3 linked regions of the Oryzias latipes genome follow. The protein of the gene in region 2 purifies or fractionates together with the protein of the main gene of each other region. This does not show direct contact. Links are inferred from orthologs where the notes say so. Each region holds a gene or a part of one and is shown on either strand. Other genes may lie near its edges.

The links.
Region 1: the proteins of polb (region 2) and parp1 purify together in Homo sapiens (affinity purification with mass spectrometry; 4 studies listed by BioGRID and IntAct, counting the BioPlex papers as one, with this or other methods). This does not show direct contact. The link is inferred for Oryzias latipes from reciprocal best matches to the Homo sapiens genes POLB and PARP1.
Region 3: the proteins of polb (region 2) and lig3 purify together in Homo sapiens (affinity purification with mass spectrometry; 3 studies listed by BioGRID and IntAct, counting the BioPlex papers as one, with this or other methods). This does not show direct contact. The link is inferred for Oryzias latipes from reciprocal best matches to the Homo sapiens genes POLB and LIG3.

What each region holds. Positions count from the first base shown.
Region 1 is NC_019882.2:7,704,206-7,708,459, reverse strand, and holds the start of parp1 (poly [ADP-ribose] polymerase 1), read right to left. Parts: upstream 2,857-4,254; 5' UTR 2,747-2,856; coding exon 2,624-2,746; intron 1,131-2,623; coding exon 965-1,130; intron 803-964; coding exon 687-802; intron 617-686; coding exon 402-616; intron 1-401. UniProt on the Homo sapiens protein: Poly-ADP-ribosyltransferase that mediates poly-ADP-ribosylation of proteins and plays a key role in DNA repair.
Region 2 is NC_019867.2:6,236,677-6,241,077, reverse strand, and holds the start of polb (DNA polymerase beta), read right to left. Parts: upstream 3,081-4,401; 5' UTR 2,940-3,080; coding exon 2,879-2,939; intron 2,583-2,878; coding exon 2,525-2,582; intron 1,650-2,524; coding exon 1,583-1,649; intron 1,361-1,582; coding exon 1,286-1,360; intron 1,203-1,285; coding exon 1,144-1,202; intron 999-1,143; coding exon 949-998; intron 835-948; coding exon 783-834; intron 713-782; coding exon 658-712; intron 568-657; coding exon 495-567; intron 426-494; coding exon 355-425; intron 281-354; coding exon 194-280; intron 58-193; coding exon 1-57. Other genes in the region: enkd1 (enkurin domain-containing protein 1), read right to left, coding at 3,492-3,652, 3,755-3,891, 4,027-4,163.
Region 3 is NC_019872.2:27,669,580-27,674,174, forward strand, and holds the start of lig3 (DNA ligase 3), read left to right. Parts: upstream 1-1,497; 5' UTR 1,498-1,978; intron 1,979-2,682; 5' UTR 2,683-2,708; coding exon 2,709-3,258; intron 3,259-4,522; coding exon 4,523-4,595. Other genes in the region: tmem248 (transmembrane protein 248), read right to left, coding at 595-597. UniProt on the Homo sapiens protein: Isoform 3 functions as a heterodimer with DNA-repair protein XRCC1 in the nucleus and can correct defective DNA strand-break repair and sister chromatid exchange following treatment with ionizing radiation and alkylating agents.

The sequences.
Region 1 (4,254 bases), on a different chromosome or scaffold from region 2:
TCTGCTGGATTCCGCTCCATGTGATCAACTGCTTCCTCCTGCTTTGCCCAAAGTGCCCCGTTCCGCTGGAGCTGCTGCTCACCACCATCATCCTGTCCCACGCCAACTCTGCTGTGAACCCCTTCCTGTATGCATACACCATGACGGCTTTCAGGGACGCCTTTAAGGCCATTTTTCTGTGCTGCAGGTCGATGGGAGAGGCAGAGATTTTAAGTGGAAACAACAGAGGAGATGAGAGAACTTCTAGACCAAACCAAGTCTGTGAGAGCTGAGTCAAAGCTCTTAGTCAAACTTTTATATATATATATATATATATATATATATATATATATATATATATATATATATATATATATATATATATATATATATATATATATATAGTTTTTGTTACTCCTCACCCCTCAGTTTTTACAGCAGGAAGCCTCTTCTTCAGCTCCTCCTTGTCTTCTGCCCGCAGCACATTGAATCCCTTCAGCTGAGCAGCGCTGTAATCAGGTTTGAAAGCCAGCTCCTCTCTGCGGCTCACAAAACATGCAGTGTGGTACCAGCGGTCGATCAGGCCCAGCTGAGGCTTCTCTGCATCCACCACTTTCTTAGACACACGAATCTGATCCTGGAGGAGAGGTCAGAGGTCACAGGCGTGCTTTCCGTTAATGAACTGTTTAAACGAAGCTGCAGCAAACCTTTTCTATTTTCTGCTGACATCCTTTGCACGTGCTGCGGTTTGATTTGGCGTACTCCACCGCAAAGTCGTTCAGCGTCTTTTCTCCTTTAGCCGCACCACCAGAGTTTCCCTTTCCTGCAAGATGGAGACCTCAATTTACCCCGCTGTGCTTTAAGTCAGAATTTTCAACAACCTACAAAAAGTAAACAAAAGCGACTTTCCGATGACTAACATTCACCACGCTGATAAACGTCAATTCATTTCCCGTGTGCACAAACAGCTCAGACAAGCACAGACCTGTTCCGGCCACTCCACCACTTTCTATGGCTTTTTTGACAGCTTCCTGGTCCGCCCAGCGGAGATCCGAAAACCCGCCGACATCGGCCGTGGACTGCACCGAGGCTCGCTGCCAGAAGCAGGAGAAGTGATGCCAGTGAGGGACCTTCCCGTCGAACATGGGGGACTGCGGGACACAGAGTAAACATAGGCGTGAACACATTCAGCTGCAGAGTTATAGTTTTCAGTCTGTCTGTATCTGCCGGGTTTGGATGATTCTGGAAAAAAATGATGGGTTTGCTGCTCATATCAGATCATCTGAAAGCTCCAGTGTAGTTTGGTGGTGAATTGAACAAGATAGTTGAAAAGTTGAACAAAGAACAGACAAAAAACATTTTTATGAGACGAGTAAAGGATGTAAAATAATTTAGCAATACCGTAATATTTTTTGAAGGTGAAATGGGAGGAAAAAACTAACCCTTTGAAAAAAATAATTGTACTATTGTCGCCATGTCCTGCTCCTTTTAAAAATGACTTTTCTCAATTTTTCTGTACAGTTTAAGAAAAATAAGAGGCTTTTCAAATTATCTTTAACATTTTAGCTGTAGTGACTCGCCAAAACAAAAGCGCAATTTTGTTTTTATTTAAATCATAAAAAATACCTTCAAATAAAAACTTGAACATCTTTCTAATTCCACAAACAAATACAAACTGTAATAAAAGTTTTGTTTATATATGTGTTTAATTATTATTTTTACATTTTATTCCTTACGTTTAGATTTAAATTGCTCGCCTTAAATTAAACATTTTAACTGTTTATTTAATAATATCAATAACCATCAATTGATCAGTCTGAAGGATGGGAAATTTACAAATATAAATCTGAATACAAATGATTTAAATATATATATATATATATATATATATATATATTTTTTTTTTTTTAAAGTTTAGTTGGTGCCAATTTTTACTCTGTGCTTTTGATATAAAATTTTTGACAATAAAAGCAATCAGTCTAGATATGATCTATTTTTTTTTTATAAATACCTGTGATTGATATTTACATTTTTCATCCTAATTTTTAAATTTGCATTAGAAATTAGTTTTATACAATTTACTGGATTATAGATAATAATTTTTTTACCTGCATATTAATTTACTTGAATGTCAACGTATTTTTCCAAAAATATAAATTCTACTTGCATTAATTGCTTGTAGAATAATAATTAATTATGCAAAGTTTAGTATTTCAAATCCATCTGCTGAAACGGAAGCCTGTGGTAGACAAAATACTAAATGAATAAATAAAAGGAAAAAGCGAATGAAGTAAAGAAAGTAGTGAGCGGTACACGTTCCCCCGAAAGACAAGCGATAGAATCACCAAGACTGAGTCAGACTGAGAGGCAGCAGTGATTTTTCCTCACATTTCTGCTTGAATGCCGGAAAGTGCATTTATTTGGAGCATCTCTGCGGCTCTTTGTGCGGAAGATTTAGCAGCCATAAATGCTAACGAGGGCCCAAACCAGTCCAGACGAAACCGGAACTACTCAGGCCTATATATCACATTTTCAAAAACACACTTTTATTTTTTTTTTACATCTGCTGAAGCTGCTTGGTAAACAAGTGAGTCTGTAGGAATAATTCCGCTCCCGGGTGTTTCCTTGGACCGCCGCTGCTTACCTGCACCACGATGGCCATCCTCAGCGAGTCCTTCGCGATTTTCTCCTTGCATTTCTTGCACGAAGCCTGGCCGCTTTTGGCGTACTCTGCTCGGAACAGCTTGTCATTCTGGGAGTCGGCCATAGCTTCCCTTTATCCTTAAAAAGCTGAACCGAAGACGACAAAGTTTCTCCACCAGAGCACGAGGAGCAACAACAGGGACAACGCGAAGAGCAGCGAGCAAGATCCAGTAAAGAGGGCTTACTCTGACTCTTTTTTGTCAAACCTCCGATACAAGCGTTAGTTGCCAATGGACGCTGAACCTGGGCGCATGTCCACAAATATCTGATAGATGCGGGCATATTTATCCAGATAGCTACAGAAATCACAGCTAACCGAACCTAAGAAACGGGGTTACATACTTCCATTCCTTCAGCATATCTTTCAAAACATCTTTGCATGCAGAGCCTGTAGAATGGAAGTTTATGTTTTTTGTTGTTGTTATGAAAATCATATTTATTGTTTAAGTTATCCATACTCACAAGCTCTTATTTAGAAATTTAGAAAACAGCCGGCTTCTGATATTCCTTGGACATCATTAAAAGAAAATGACAATTGGCTTTTCTGCAGGAAGCTTCTTTTCTTTCTGCTTTCATTTACTTACTACCATTCTACCTTTTCTTTCGTTTTCTTTTATCTATCTACCTATCTATCTACCTATCTATCTATCTATCTATCTATCTATCTATCTATCTATCTATCTATCTATCTATCTATCTATCTATCTATCTATCTATCTATCTATCTATCTATCTATCTATCTATCTATCTATCTATCTATCTATCTATCTATCTATCTATCTATCTATCTATCTATCTATCTATCTATCTATCTATCTATCTATCTATCTATCTATCTATCTATCTATCTATCTATCCATCCATCCATCCATCCATCCATCCATCCATCCATCCATATCTATATATCTAATTTTCAGAAAGTAAATAGTTTAAAGTAAATTAGACAAAAAAGTAAGACGTACAAGAAGAAATATGATTTTGTGAAGATCTCTTGGTATGTAAATCACTTTTTTCATTGAAAAAAATCAGATGGACAACATAATTATTATCCTATAACTGTTGGAATAAACTGTCAATCGTGGAAATAAATCAAATATTACATTTTTTGTGTGCATGTATACTTCTACTTTTTGTTACAAGTTTTTCTTCATAATGCAACTTCTTCTGTATGTTTATGTTTTTAAGTCTGACCTTAATAAGAAGAGCTAGGCTATTGTTTTCGTATTATTATCCTTAGATGTTTTTTAGAACAATGGTAATTTTTTTGTTCAGTTTTGTCGATTGGAAGAATTAAAGAAAGAACTTAAGATTTGATCAACTGAAATATATTTATTTATAAATTTATTTAAAAAAACAAAAACGAAATATTATTATTTATGTATATTTATTTGTCCTCTTGGTCATTCCTCAGGAGCCACTCAACCGCATAAACAACACTCCTCTAAAATATGTTCAACAAAAAGTATTCAAACTTGAAATGTTTCATAAAAAAATGTCAAGCGATCCATTTTTCACAATAGACGATATTTGGATACCTCACAGAGTACCCGCGCTCGCTTCAGTCTAAAACA
Region 2 (4,401 bases):
GTGAAGGTATTCTTCCTCATCCTCATCATCATTGCTCTGCTGCAGTTGGCAGACACCCTGAAAAAACAAGATCAGCACATCATGAGCAGAGTCATGTGCTGCAGCTGATGCATGCAGTTACTGCACTAACCCTGTTACCTAATGGAATTGCATGGAGCTGAGTGCATGAAAGAAAAACAAGCTGAAGGCTCACCATGAACTTGGTGTCTCCTTTGGACAGAGTGTCAGTCACAAAGCCAATGGACTCCAAGTGTTCAACCACAGCATGGAGGAGCTTGGGCTGAGGACAAAAGAACAGAAAACTGAGTTGCAGATAAAGATGGGAATAAAAGTATTCATGAGATTACTTTTTACCTGTTTCTCAGTCTGCGAGGTGTAGTTTGGGTGGGTCAGCAAAATATCAATATCACCACTCGACGCTGCACCTGGAAACCATAAACAGTTACAAACGCCACCAACCAGTAAAGAAAATGACTAAAGACAGTAAAGATCACCTCTTCTGTAGCTTCCACATATTGTTCCAATATATTCTGGATCAATTTTCTCCAACTCAGCAATGATAAGAGCCTTAAAAACACAAGATGATGAAAAGCTTGACAAATACACGACACTTTCCAGCCCGGAAGTAGAAAACATAGAAGCAAAAGGAAAAACTACCTCCATTTGTTCCATTTCAGCTCTTGGGATCCTTTTCTCAAACTCTTCAAAGTACCTAAATGAAGCAGATTAGTCACTAAACAGTCATTTTTGAGTATTTGAATAAGTAAATGTCAAACCTTTACCTGAGTCCAATCTTTTGATGGTGGTTAAGTTTGTGCTCAACCTTTTTCAAATCTGCAAAAGAATAGGAACATACGGAAAATCAACATAATGCAAAACATTTTAGAATTTGCAACACATTCATACTGATGTCACATAATAGTAATGCACATAAGAGACTTTACAAACCATCTAATGTCTTCACCCCTTCTTCAAAAAACTTCCTGGCGGCAGCAGGGCTAAATAAAAAAGACACACTAATTATATGTTTTTTAAATCATATCTGCAGAACAGAAATAACTTTTTTAGCTTCTCTTGAAGGACCACTGTAAAGGTCAATAAAAACCATGTCATCCAACTATACGAATAACATTACCAACATACCCAATTCCAGTAACTCTAGTGAGGAAGTTGATGGAAGAGCTGGTATCATCATTTCGGATCTATCGAAAAACATAAATAAATCAGTTTGTGTGACAACATGGATTCTATCAGCACATCCTCTGCAGTATCAGTAAACTCTCACCTTTTCTAGTTTTCTTAGTTTGCCAGTTTGTAGAAATTCATCAATCTTTTCTGCTATTTTGGCACCAACACCATCCTGAATCATGAAAGAGGAATTGAATGTAAATACGTAGGCGGATGCTTCAGCATTTTCAGGAGTTATAGAAAATGTAAGTTAACAAAATAGTTTAGGTTCAGATAGAGCTCATAAAACACTTCTTAAAACATTAACACATTCTTAAGACAACAAAAAACAATTCGGAAAATTTCACATCAAATAGGAGATATTTTAAATATATATATATATATCAGCACATACCAGTTTTTTTGCTTCTTCTCCGTTCCTAATCTTGCTTGGGTATTTAGAAATGGTAGATGCTGCTTTCCTATTATGAATGAAAGAGGTAAAAAAAATAAGATTAAAAAAAAAATATCAACGCAGGTATTAAACTCTGACTGAAGAAGATAAGAAAATCGTGTTGCTGAGAAGTTGGTGGAGAAAATGGAGGACTAAGTACTTAAGGTCCACAGTCCAGAACAACAAAGAGTGTGGGAAAAGAGGCATGTGCAAGCGGGTTGCAACGGGTGGAGGAAGGTGTGTAGTGTAACAAAAGAAAGAACGAAAGGAAAGCCGCAGAAAACTGTGGTAAGAGCAGCCATGTTTTTGAATTAGAGAGAGTGGCTCTGATGTGACAGGAGGCAGAGCTTTGGGTAGCAGAGATGAAGATGCTGAGGTTCTCTTTGGGTGTGATGAGGATGGATGAGATAAGGAAAGGTGTGAGATGTTTTGAGGATAAATGCAGGGAAGCAGACTGAGATGATTTTGACACGCTCAAAGGAAGGACAGTGATAATGTTGATCAAAGGATGCTGAGGTTGGAGCTACAGGAAAGAGGAGGTTCATGGATGTTGTTGAGGAGAAGGTGGGTAGTGTGAGTGAGGAGGATGCAGAGGAGGTTTAGTGGATGGAGGCGGATGATTCGGTGCAGCGATACCAAGGGAGCAGCAAAGAGAGAAAGCAGAAGGAACCACAAAACACACACTCATCATGCAACACAAACAAAGCACAATGTTAGGTTCTCGGCTCTATGAAAGATTTAGTGAAAATTTCTGTATTTCACAGGAAGGATTCAAAGAGCATGGACATATTTAAATGTAAAAATTGTGAAAAGGGGATGTTTTGGGCAGACATCATTGCTATAGTAATTATTTTTAAAAACAACAACAATGGGGCTTACACTCCCTTACTCTCCCGAACATACCTGTAAGCATTGTACTTGTGTATTGCCCTGTTGACATTTTTCTCGTAGTTGGCCAACTCTGCAAACAGAAACCCATTAAGGCATTCTCCCACCTCTCATGATTTTCAAAACACCGATCCGCCCATTCATCAGCTTAACTCTGCTAGCTTAGAGTCGGCTTTATGTTTGAGTGATTTTATCATAGTCATTAAGTTTAAATATTGTACATCAAAGTAACCTTGATGCTTTCTAACTGACGAGAAAGAAACATAATCAACGGGGCCACTCTCAATAAAGCATAATTAGCAAGATATGTGGGTATTTATTTTTAAATGGAAAGGCTAGCTTCTGCTAGCAAACCTTAACTTCACTTACCGATGAGAAAGTCCGTTATTCCTTCGTTTGGAGATTCCTGTGGTGCTTTTCTTTTGCTCATAGTGGATGTAATTCACTATTGTAGTGTTTTAAAAAAAATTCCCAAGTAATATTTGCGTGCGAAAGCGATTACAAGCTGCAAGGTGTCAGTCAGTTTCTGACTACCACGTTAGCAAAAGTTAGCTTGCTCTGAACAATGAGACATGGTGGGGGCGGGGCTGCGCGTGCGCACTTCGTCAAAAAGGATTCAAGTGTATTTATGGTTAAATTGGGTATAATACATAAAAAGACAAAGACACTGGTTCTGTACAAAGTATTATTGGATAAGATTTAAGAAAGAAAAATATACATTTTCATTACTGACAGTTATGTGGCTACAATACATCAAATACAGCTCAAAAGCAAAATAAATAAATTACAAGCAGATACACAACTGTTTTTCAAGATACCATGTATACATTTTATAAAATAAAAAATGCATTCAAAGCAAATAAATCTAATGTACAACTTTTTTGGGTATATTTCCACAGCAGTATCTAAATTGTGTTGATTTTTAAGGATCCTATTCCACCCTTTCCTATATATCCTCTTTATATATCCTCTTCTTGAGATGTTAGGAATCAGTTTTGATATAAACTTTGTCCCTGGAGAATATCTTTATTGCCTCCTCAATTTCAGAAAGCCTGCAGTCAAGATGAGCCCGACGTGAGCGAGTACTCAGGTTGTCTGCTTTCAGAGGGAGTGAGTTTAATTCCATCACCAGGGTGCGATGAGCTGAGGAGGAAAAAGTATAATTAACCAAGGAACTATAAAGTCTCACACTATACGTGGTGTATTAAGTATCAAAATCAACTAAAGGTGAAGGTAAATACATACTATCTTTCAGAGATTTCAGTGTTTCCTGCCTTTCACTGTCCTGCATTAAGGTGTGACCAGGTGGGATTGTAGGATCGGGTGTGTTTCTTTTTCTCTCCTCCTCCTCTTTGCGCCACTGTGCTTTCCTTTCCTCAAGGCTGTAAGTGCAATGTTCAAAACGAAACATACTTTTAAGTTATTAATTAGATTATCAAAACTTTTTCCATCTCAGAGGGGATCGTGGATAAGTTAAAGCCTGTTAAGAAGGTCAATTTTCTTGTTGGAATACTTACTACTGCGGGACCTGTCCTTTGACTGCGCTGGGCACAGGTTTATCTCTGAGGTCTGTCAGTGACTGAGAACGGCGAGTCACAGTTTTTCCTGCGGCTCTGGCATTGTGTCTGATGAAGTTTATTGCCTGACCTTGCACCTTAGAAAGGGACAAAGAAAAGATCGAAGACATGGATCCAACACACCAGAGAGCTTTTTTCTTATAAAATGTGTTTTGAATGTTTATTTCTTCAGTTTTAAAAACAAACTTGAGGCTTTTCAAAAAAGTAGGCTTTAAATCTTATTTCCAATAATAGTTATTCCCATTAAAGGGCCTATACCATGCAAAATCATTTTTTTTAGAATTATAATGTTAATTCCTCACAAAAAAAAAAAAC
Region 3 (4,595 bases), on a different chromosome or scaffold from region 2:
ATAAAACCACAAACTCGCTTCAAAGGTTTTCGCTTTTAGCAGAAGTTAAACAAATAATGTACACAAACACACTGCATGATGGTTGACAGTACACATAAAAAAGCACAGTTGTGAGGTTGTGATAACATGCCGGACATGAAGGACAAGGTGACAAACACTCAAGATAAACAAAAGCAACGCGGACTCGTCCAAACAGATATTTGCAGAGAAAACCCCAAGCTTCAGGTATTTTTCCAGCCACGTTTATTTTCCACGCCTACAAGTTATTTATGATAAATACATATTGAGTTATGTTTACCTGTAAGCACGTATGGCTGGACAACAATCCCAACAAAAAAGCGACTTAAACTTAACTGTCGTTAGAACAGATTATAATTTGCGAACACAAAAACGGTTAAAGATAGAATAAATTAAAAAACAAACAGCTTTCGTTATGAAATATTGCTAAACGTAACCACCTAATATTAGCTGTCAACCTAATTTAGACGTCAAGCTAACCGCTTGACAACGACGTCTCAGAGACGTGACGTATTTCGCGTGACACTTAATTTTAATAGAAAGAGGCGGATAAATATTTAAAAAATGAAGTTTTACCATTTTTTCTCCCGTTGGAGGCAAGAAAGATGCGAGCTGGGCGGTGCGTCGCGGGCCACAACAAGCCTGCAACCTCACGAACAAGTTAGCGTCCAAGCTAGCTTGATGCTAAAATCCAAGCTAGTTGTTCTTCCTGAATACAACGCAGAAACACAAACGTCTGTGTTCGAAGGGGAAACTCAGACAGTCGACATGCGGACAGTCGCCGCGTCCCATTCTTCTCCTTTACGTTCCTTGAAGGTTAAAAGAGAAAAGTATCCACCGCTGAGTCTGGAATAGCGTCAAACAAAATATATGGGTCCTCCCTACGAGGTAAACTGCGCGTGCCCGCACTGCGTAGTGACAGCGCCGCGGTATTTACGTACGAGATGGGTCCGGAAACCCGCCGCCGCGCGCGCATCTCGTGTCATAGAACGCAATTTACGTAGCTTTCATGAGGAGGCCACTGTTTCCACGTTTATTCTGTTTTGTTTGTTGTCATGCTATTTTTTTTTAGATTTGGTATATCTAATAAATAATATAATAATTTAAATCATAATATAGTTTTTACCGACTGAAAGCTTAATTTCTTTCTTTTCTTTAACGTGAGGACACAAAAAAGTAGCCTCTTAGTAACACATCTTTTCATTGGTATTAAATCGTATGCCGTTGATACAAAACAAAATAATAAAAAAAATCCAAACCAATGCAATACAATACAATATAGAAATATTGATTTCACTTCTCTCACTCTCAACCAATCAAACTTTAACAAACTTCACATGTAATAAATTCAGAGTGCAAACATGTCTTTTTATATTTAATAGTCATTATGAAGACATAAATTTATTTCACATGTGAATTTCTTTATGGTCTTCTCGTATTTATTTTTCAATCACTTTATGACAAAATCTTGGGAAAGATCTGACATCTGTATTCAATCTTTTTTGGAGCGTTTTTTAAGTGCTGTAAATCAGCCAACAGCTAATGTAATGTCTAATGTGACAACTTCAGTATTTTCACTAACCTTTTATGGAGAAAAATTAGACTGTGAAAAACGATAGAACTGTGTAGCGACTGTGATGACGGCGTGTAGACGCACGGGGGCGGTGATGAGCGGGAACGGATGTCGAAATAAGCCCAGAAGAAGAATGTCATTGTGTGGACTGTTGCCTGCTGTCCACGCTGTTAACCCTTTTTCCTTTTGCGTAATACTCACATTTGGAAAAGTATATAAACAAACCAAACATATTTAAATGGAGTTGTCGCTTTGTCCCGCCAAACCGTAGGTTTACGAAGCACGAGCGTCTAGCCTGACGTTTGTGAAGAAGCCGCTTGTTGTTGCTAAACAATCGAGGCAGAGCCGAAACTCTTAAGAAAACAGCGCTTTAGCGCCGCTTACGAGGTAAAGTCTCAATTTGTGACATAAAATCTTTTTTTATGTTTCGTCCTTTTCTGGTAGATTTCAGTGCAGTTTTATTTTACCCGAGTGTTATTTGAAAAGTAAACAGAGCTAAAGCTAGCAGCACTTGACCGAATCGTTTGTTAGCTTTCAACCCAAAATTAATTCATTTTTTTTATTAATTATTAAGCACTATTTTCTTTTGGGATTACTAAAGAAAATTTTTAAAATATGTACCCTTGAAAAACTGAATTTGCTTATGCTTTATTTATCATTTAACCAAAAAATCAGGAAAAGTAAGAATCAAGTCATTACACTTTATTAACCTTCAATTGATTTAAAAAAACTTTCTGTAAACCGAAATGTTGGAATAATATCTTTGATGGAAATAAATAAAAGGTTTAAACGTGTTAATTTAGTAGTTTAATGAAAAACATGTTTCTTTAAATCGTCTTTTACATGATATCATCGTAATTTAATTAAGTTATTTAAGGTAATAAGTCATGATAAAGTAAAGTTTCATCTAACCAGTAAAAGGTTTTTTTTTTTTTTTGCTTATTGTTTGATAAACTCAAAAATCAAATTAACGAGTAAACGTAAAAAATTAACTTTTCAAGACATATTAGGTCAAACAAAACCGAATTGTATTTTTTGTGATTTGCTTGTGCATTTTTCTTGAATATAACCGTCGTTTTGTTGTGTTTTAGGTTGCTAACTGCACAGTCAACAATACATGCAGAGACTTCTCCTCACATCCATCCAGAAGACTGTCTGTTTCGGTGGAAAACCTTCTGGCTCCTTTGTTAGACGTCAGCAGCTCTCTACTACGTGCAGAGTCGCCTTTTCCCGTTCTGCTGACCAGCTTCCCTCCAGTTTTTCTGCAAAAAGATTTTCACAGCAAACCTGTCTGTGTCACTCCACCCCCTCCAAACCCAGCCTCCCTCGTTTCTCCGCTTCCTGGCTGTTCCTGCGACGGCGTTTCTCTACTCGACCGGAAATGGCGGATCAGAGGTTCCTCGTGGAGTACGCCAAACGGGGCACGGCGGGCTGCAAGAAGTGCAAGGACAAAATCCAGAAGGGCATCGTGAGGATCGGCAAAATCGTGCCGAACCCCTTTAGCGAGTCTGCCGGGGAGATGAAGGAGTGGTATCACGTGAAGTGCATCTTTGAGAAGCTGGAGAGGGCGAGGGCCACCACCAAGAAGATCGAAGACATCACCGATCTGGAGGGCTGGGAGGAACTGCAGGATGAAGACAAGGAGCTCATTAACAAACACGTCTCAGGTATTCAAAATGACTTTCCAATGAAGAATCTGAATCTCATCAGGACTTCTAACGCTCGCCGGGAGCAGGCGGCTGGTTTAACAAGTCTGATTTACTCGACCGACCAGTAGAAATAACCTTAAGAAACAATGACTGCATGTTTGCTGTTGGCTTTATGTGAGATGGGATGCCGGTACTTTTGGTTTCTTTTGTGGCGTAAGAAAACTTGAGTGTGGCAGAAAAAGCGAGCTGGGATACAGACGGCAGGAAGGCTCGGCGGAAATGGAAAGTTTGTACAAACAAAATAATAGTTGAATATCGTCCAGAAAAAGTAAATGTAGCTGCGTGTCAACTTAAAGTAGCAGAAAGTGCAGTTCAGATTTGAAAAAAGAGAAAACTTTTGAGAGAAAAATAGCTTATTTGTGATACGCTGGGTGATCACAAACTCTCTGCTTCGAGCTCTGAGCAATGGGAGTCCATAACATAACTCTGATGAACTCCTGCCGCTCTGCAGAAACTATGTCCTGGAAAACAACACAGGTTTTGGATTTTGGCAAAAAAAAAAAAATCCTAACTGAAAGGCCGCCTGGAAGGCTTTGAAAGCTCATCAGATGATGATCGGAGCGGGTTTCAGGATGGCTTCTGTCCTGAACTGCTAACCAACATAAGGGCTTGAGAACAGGAGGGATGTTCTTCTGGTTCTGATCCAAACCCTGGCAGCAGCATCCTGCTTATTGAGGAAGACTGTTGCTGTAGTCCAGCCGGCAGGAACCAGCCTCTGGTTTGGCTGAAACTGGGTTCTGAGTCGGTTGTTCTGACACCAAGAACTGTTTTTCCCCCCCAGAGTGAGGCTCTTCTGTTCCTTTCAGTCGTTCCGTCTCGTTTCCAAAAACAATAACTGCTGTGTGTCGGCGCTGAAGGAAACCAGAACCGTAGCTCCTCTGAGCTGCAGACGGTGTGAAGGCCCACAGCGACCGGGAGTCGGCTACCGTCTGACACGTTCTTCATGGGGTTTCTACCATTTCACTTTTCCTTAGGATAAAAAAAAGTAGAAATAGAATAAAACGAATGCAGTGATGTCTTCACAATAGTTAGCAGATAAGGTAAGGAGTGTGTTTTGGACACGGGAGGACAGACCCGTCATACAAGTCTCTCATATCTCAAACTATTAGAAGCAGGACGTCTTTGGGGAAGAAGGCAACCTTTTCCTCTCTGCAGCCAGCACAGAGTTTGCCAGACATCCGGGCCGGCATCTTCTTCTAAAACCTCTTCTGTTCTCTTGCAGACCTGATGGCCAAAGTCAACGCCAGCCCCAAAAAGAAAGTTCAGGCCAAGATGAACCCTACCGGTCAGCTCAT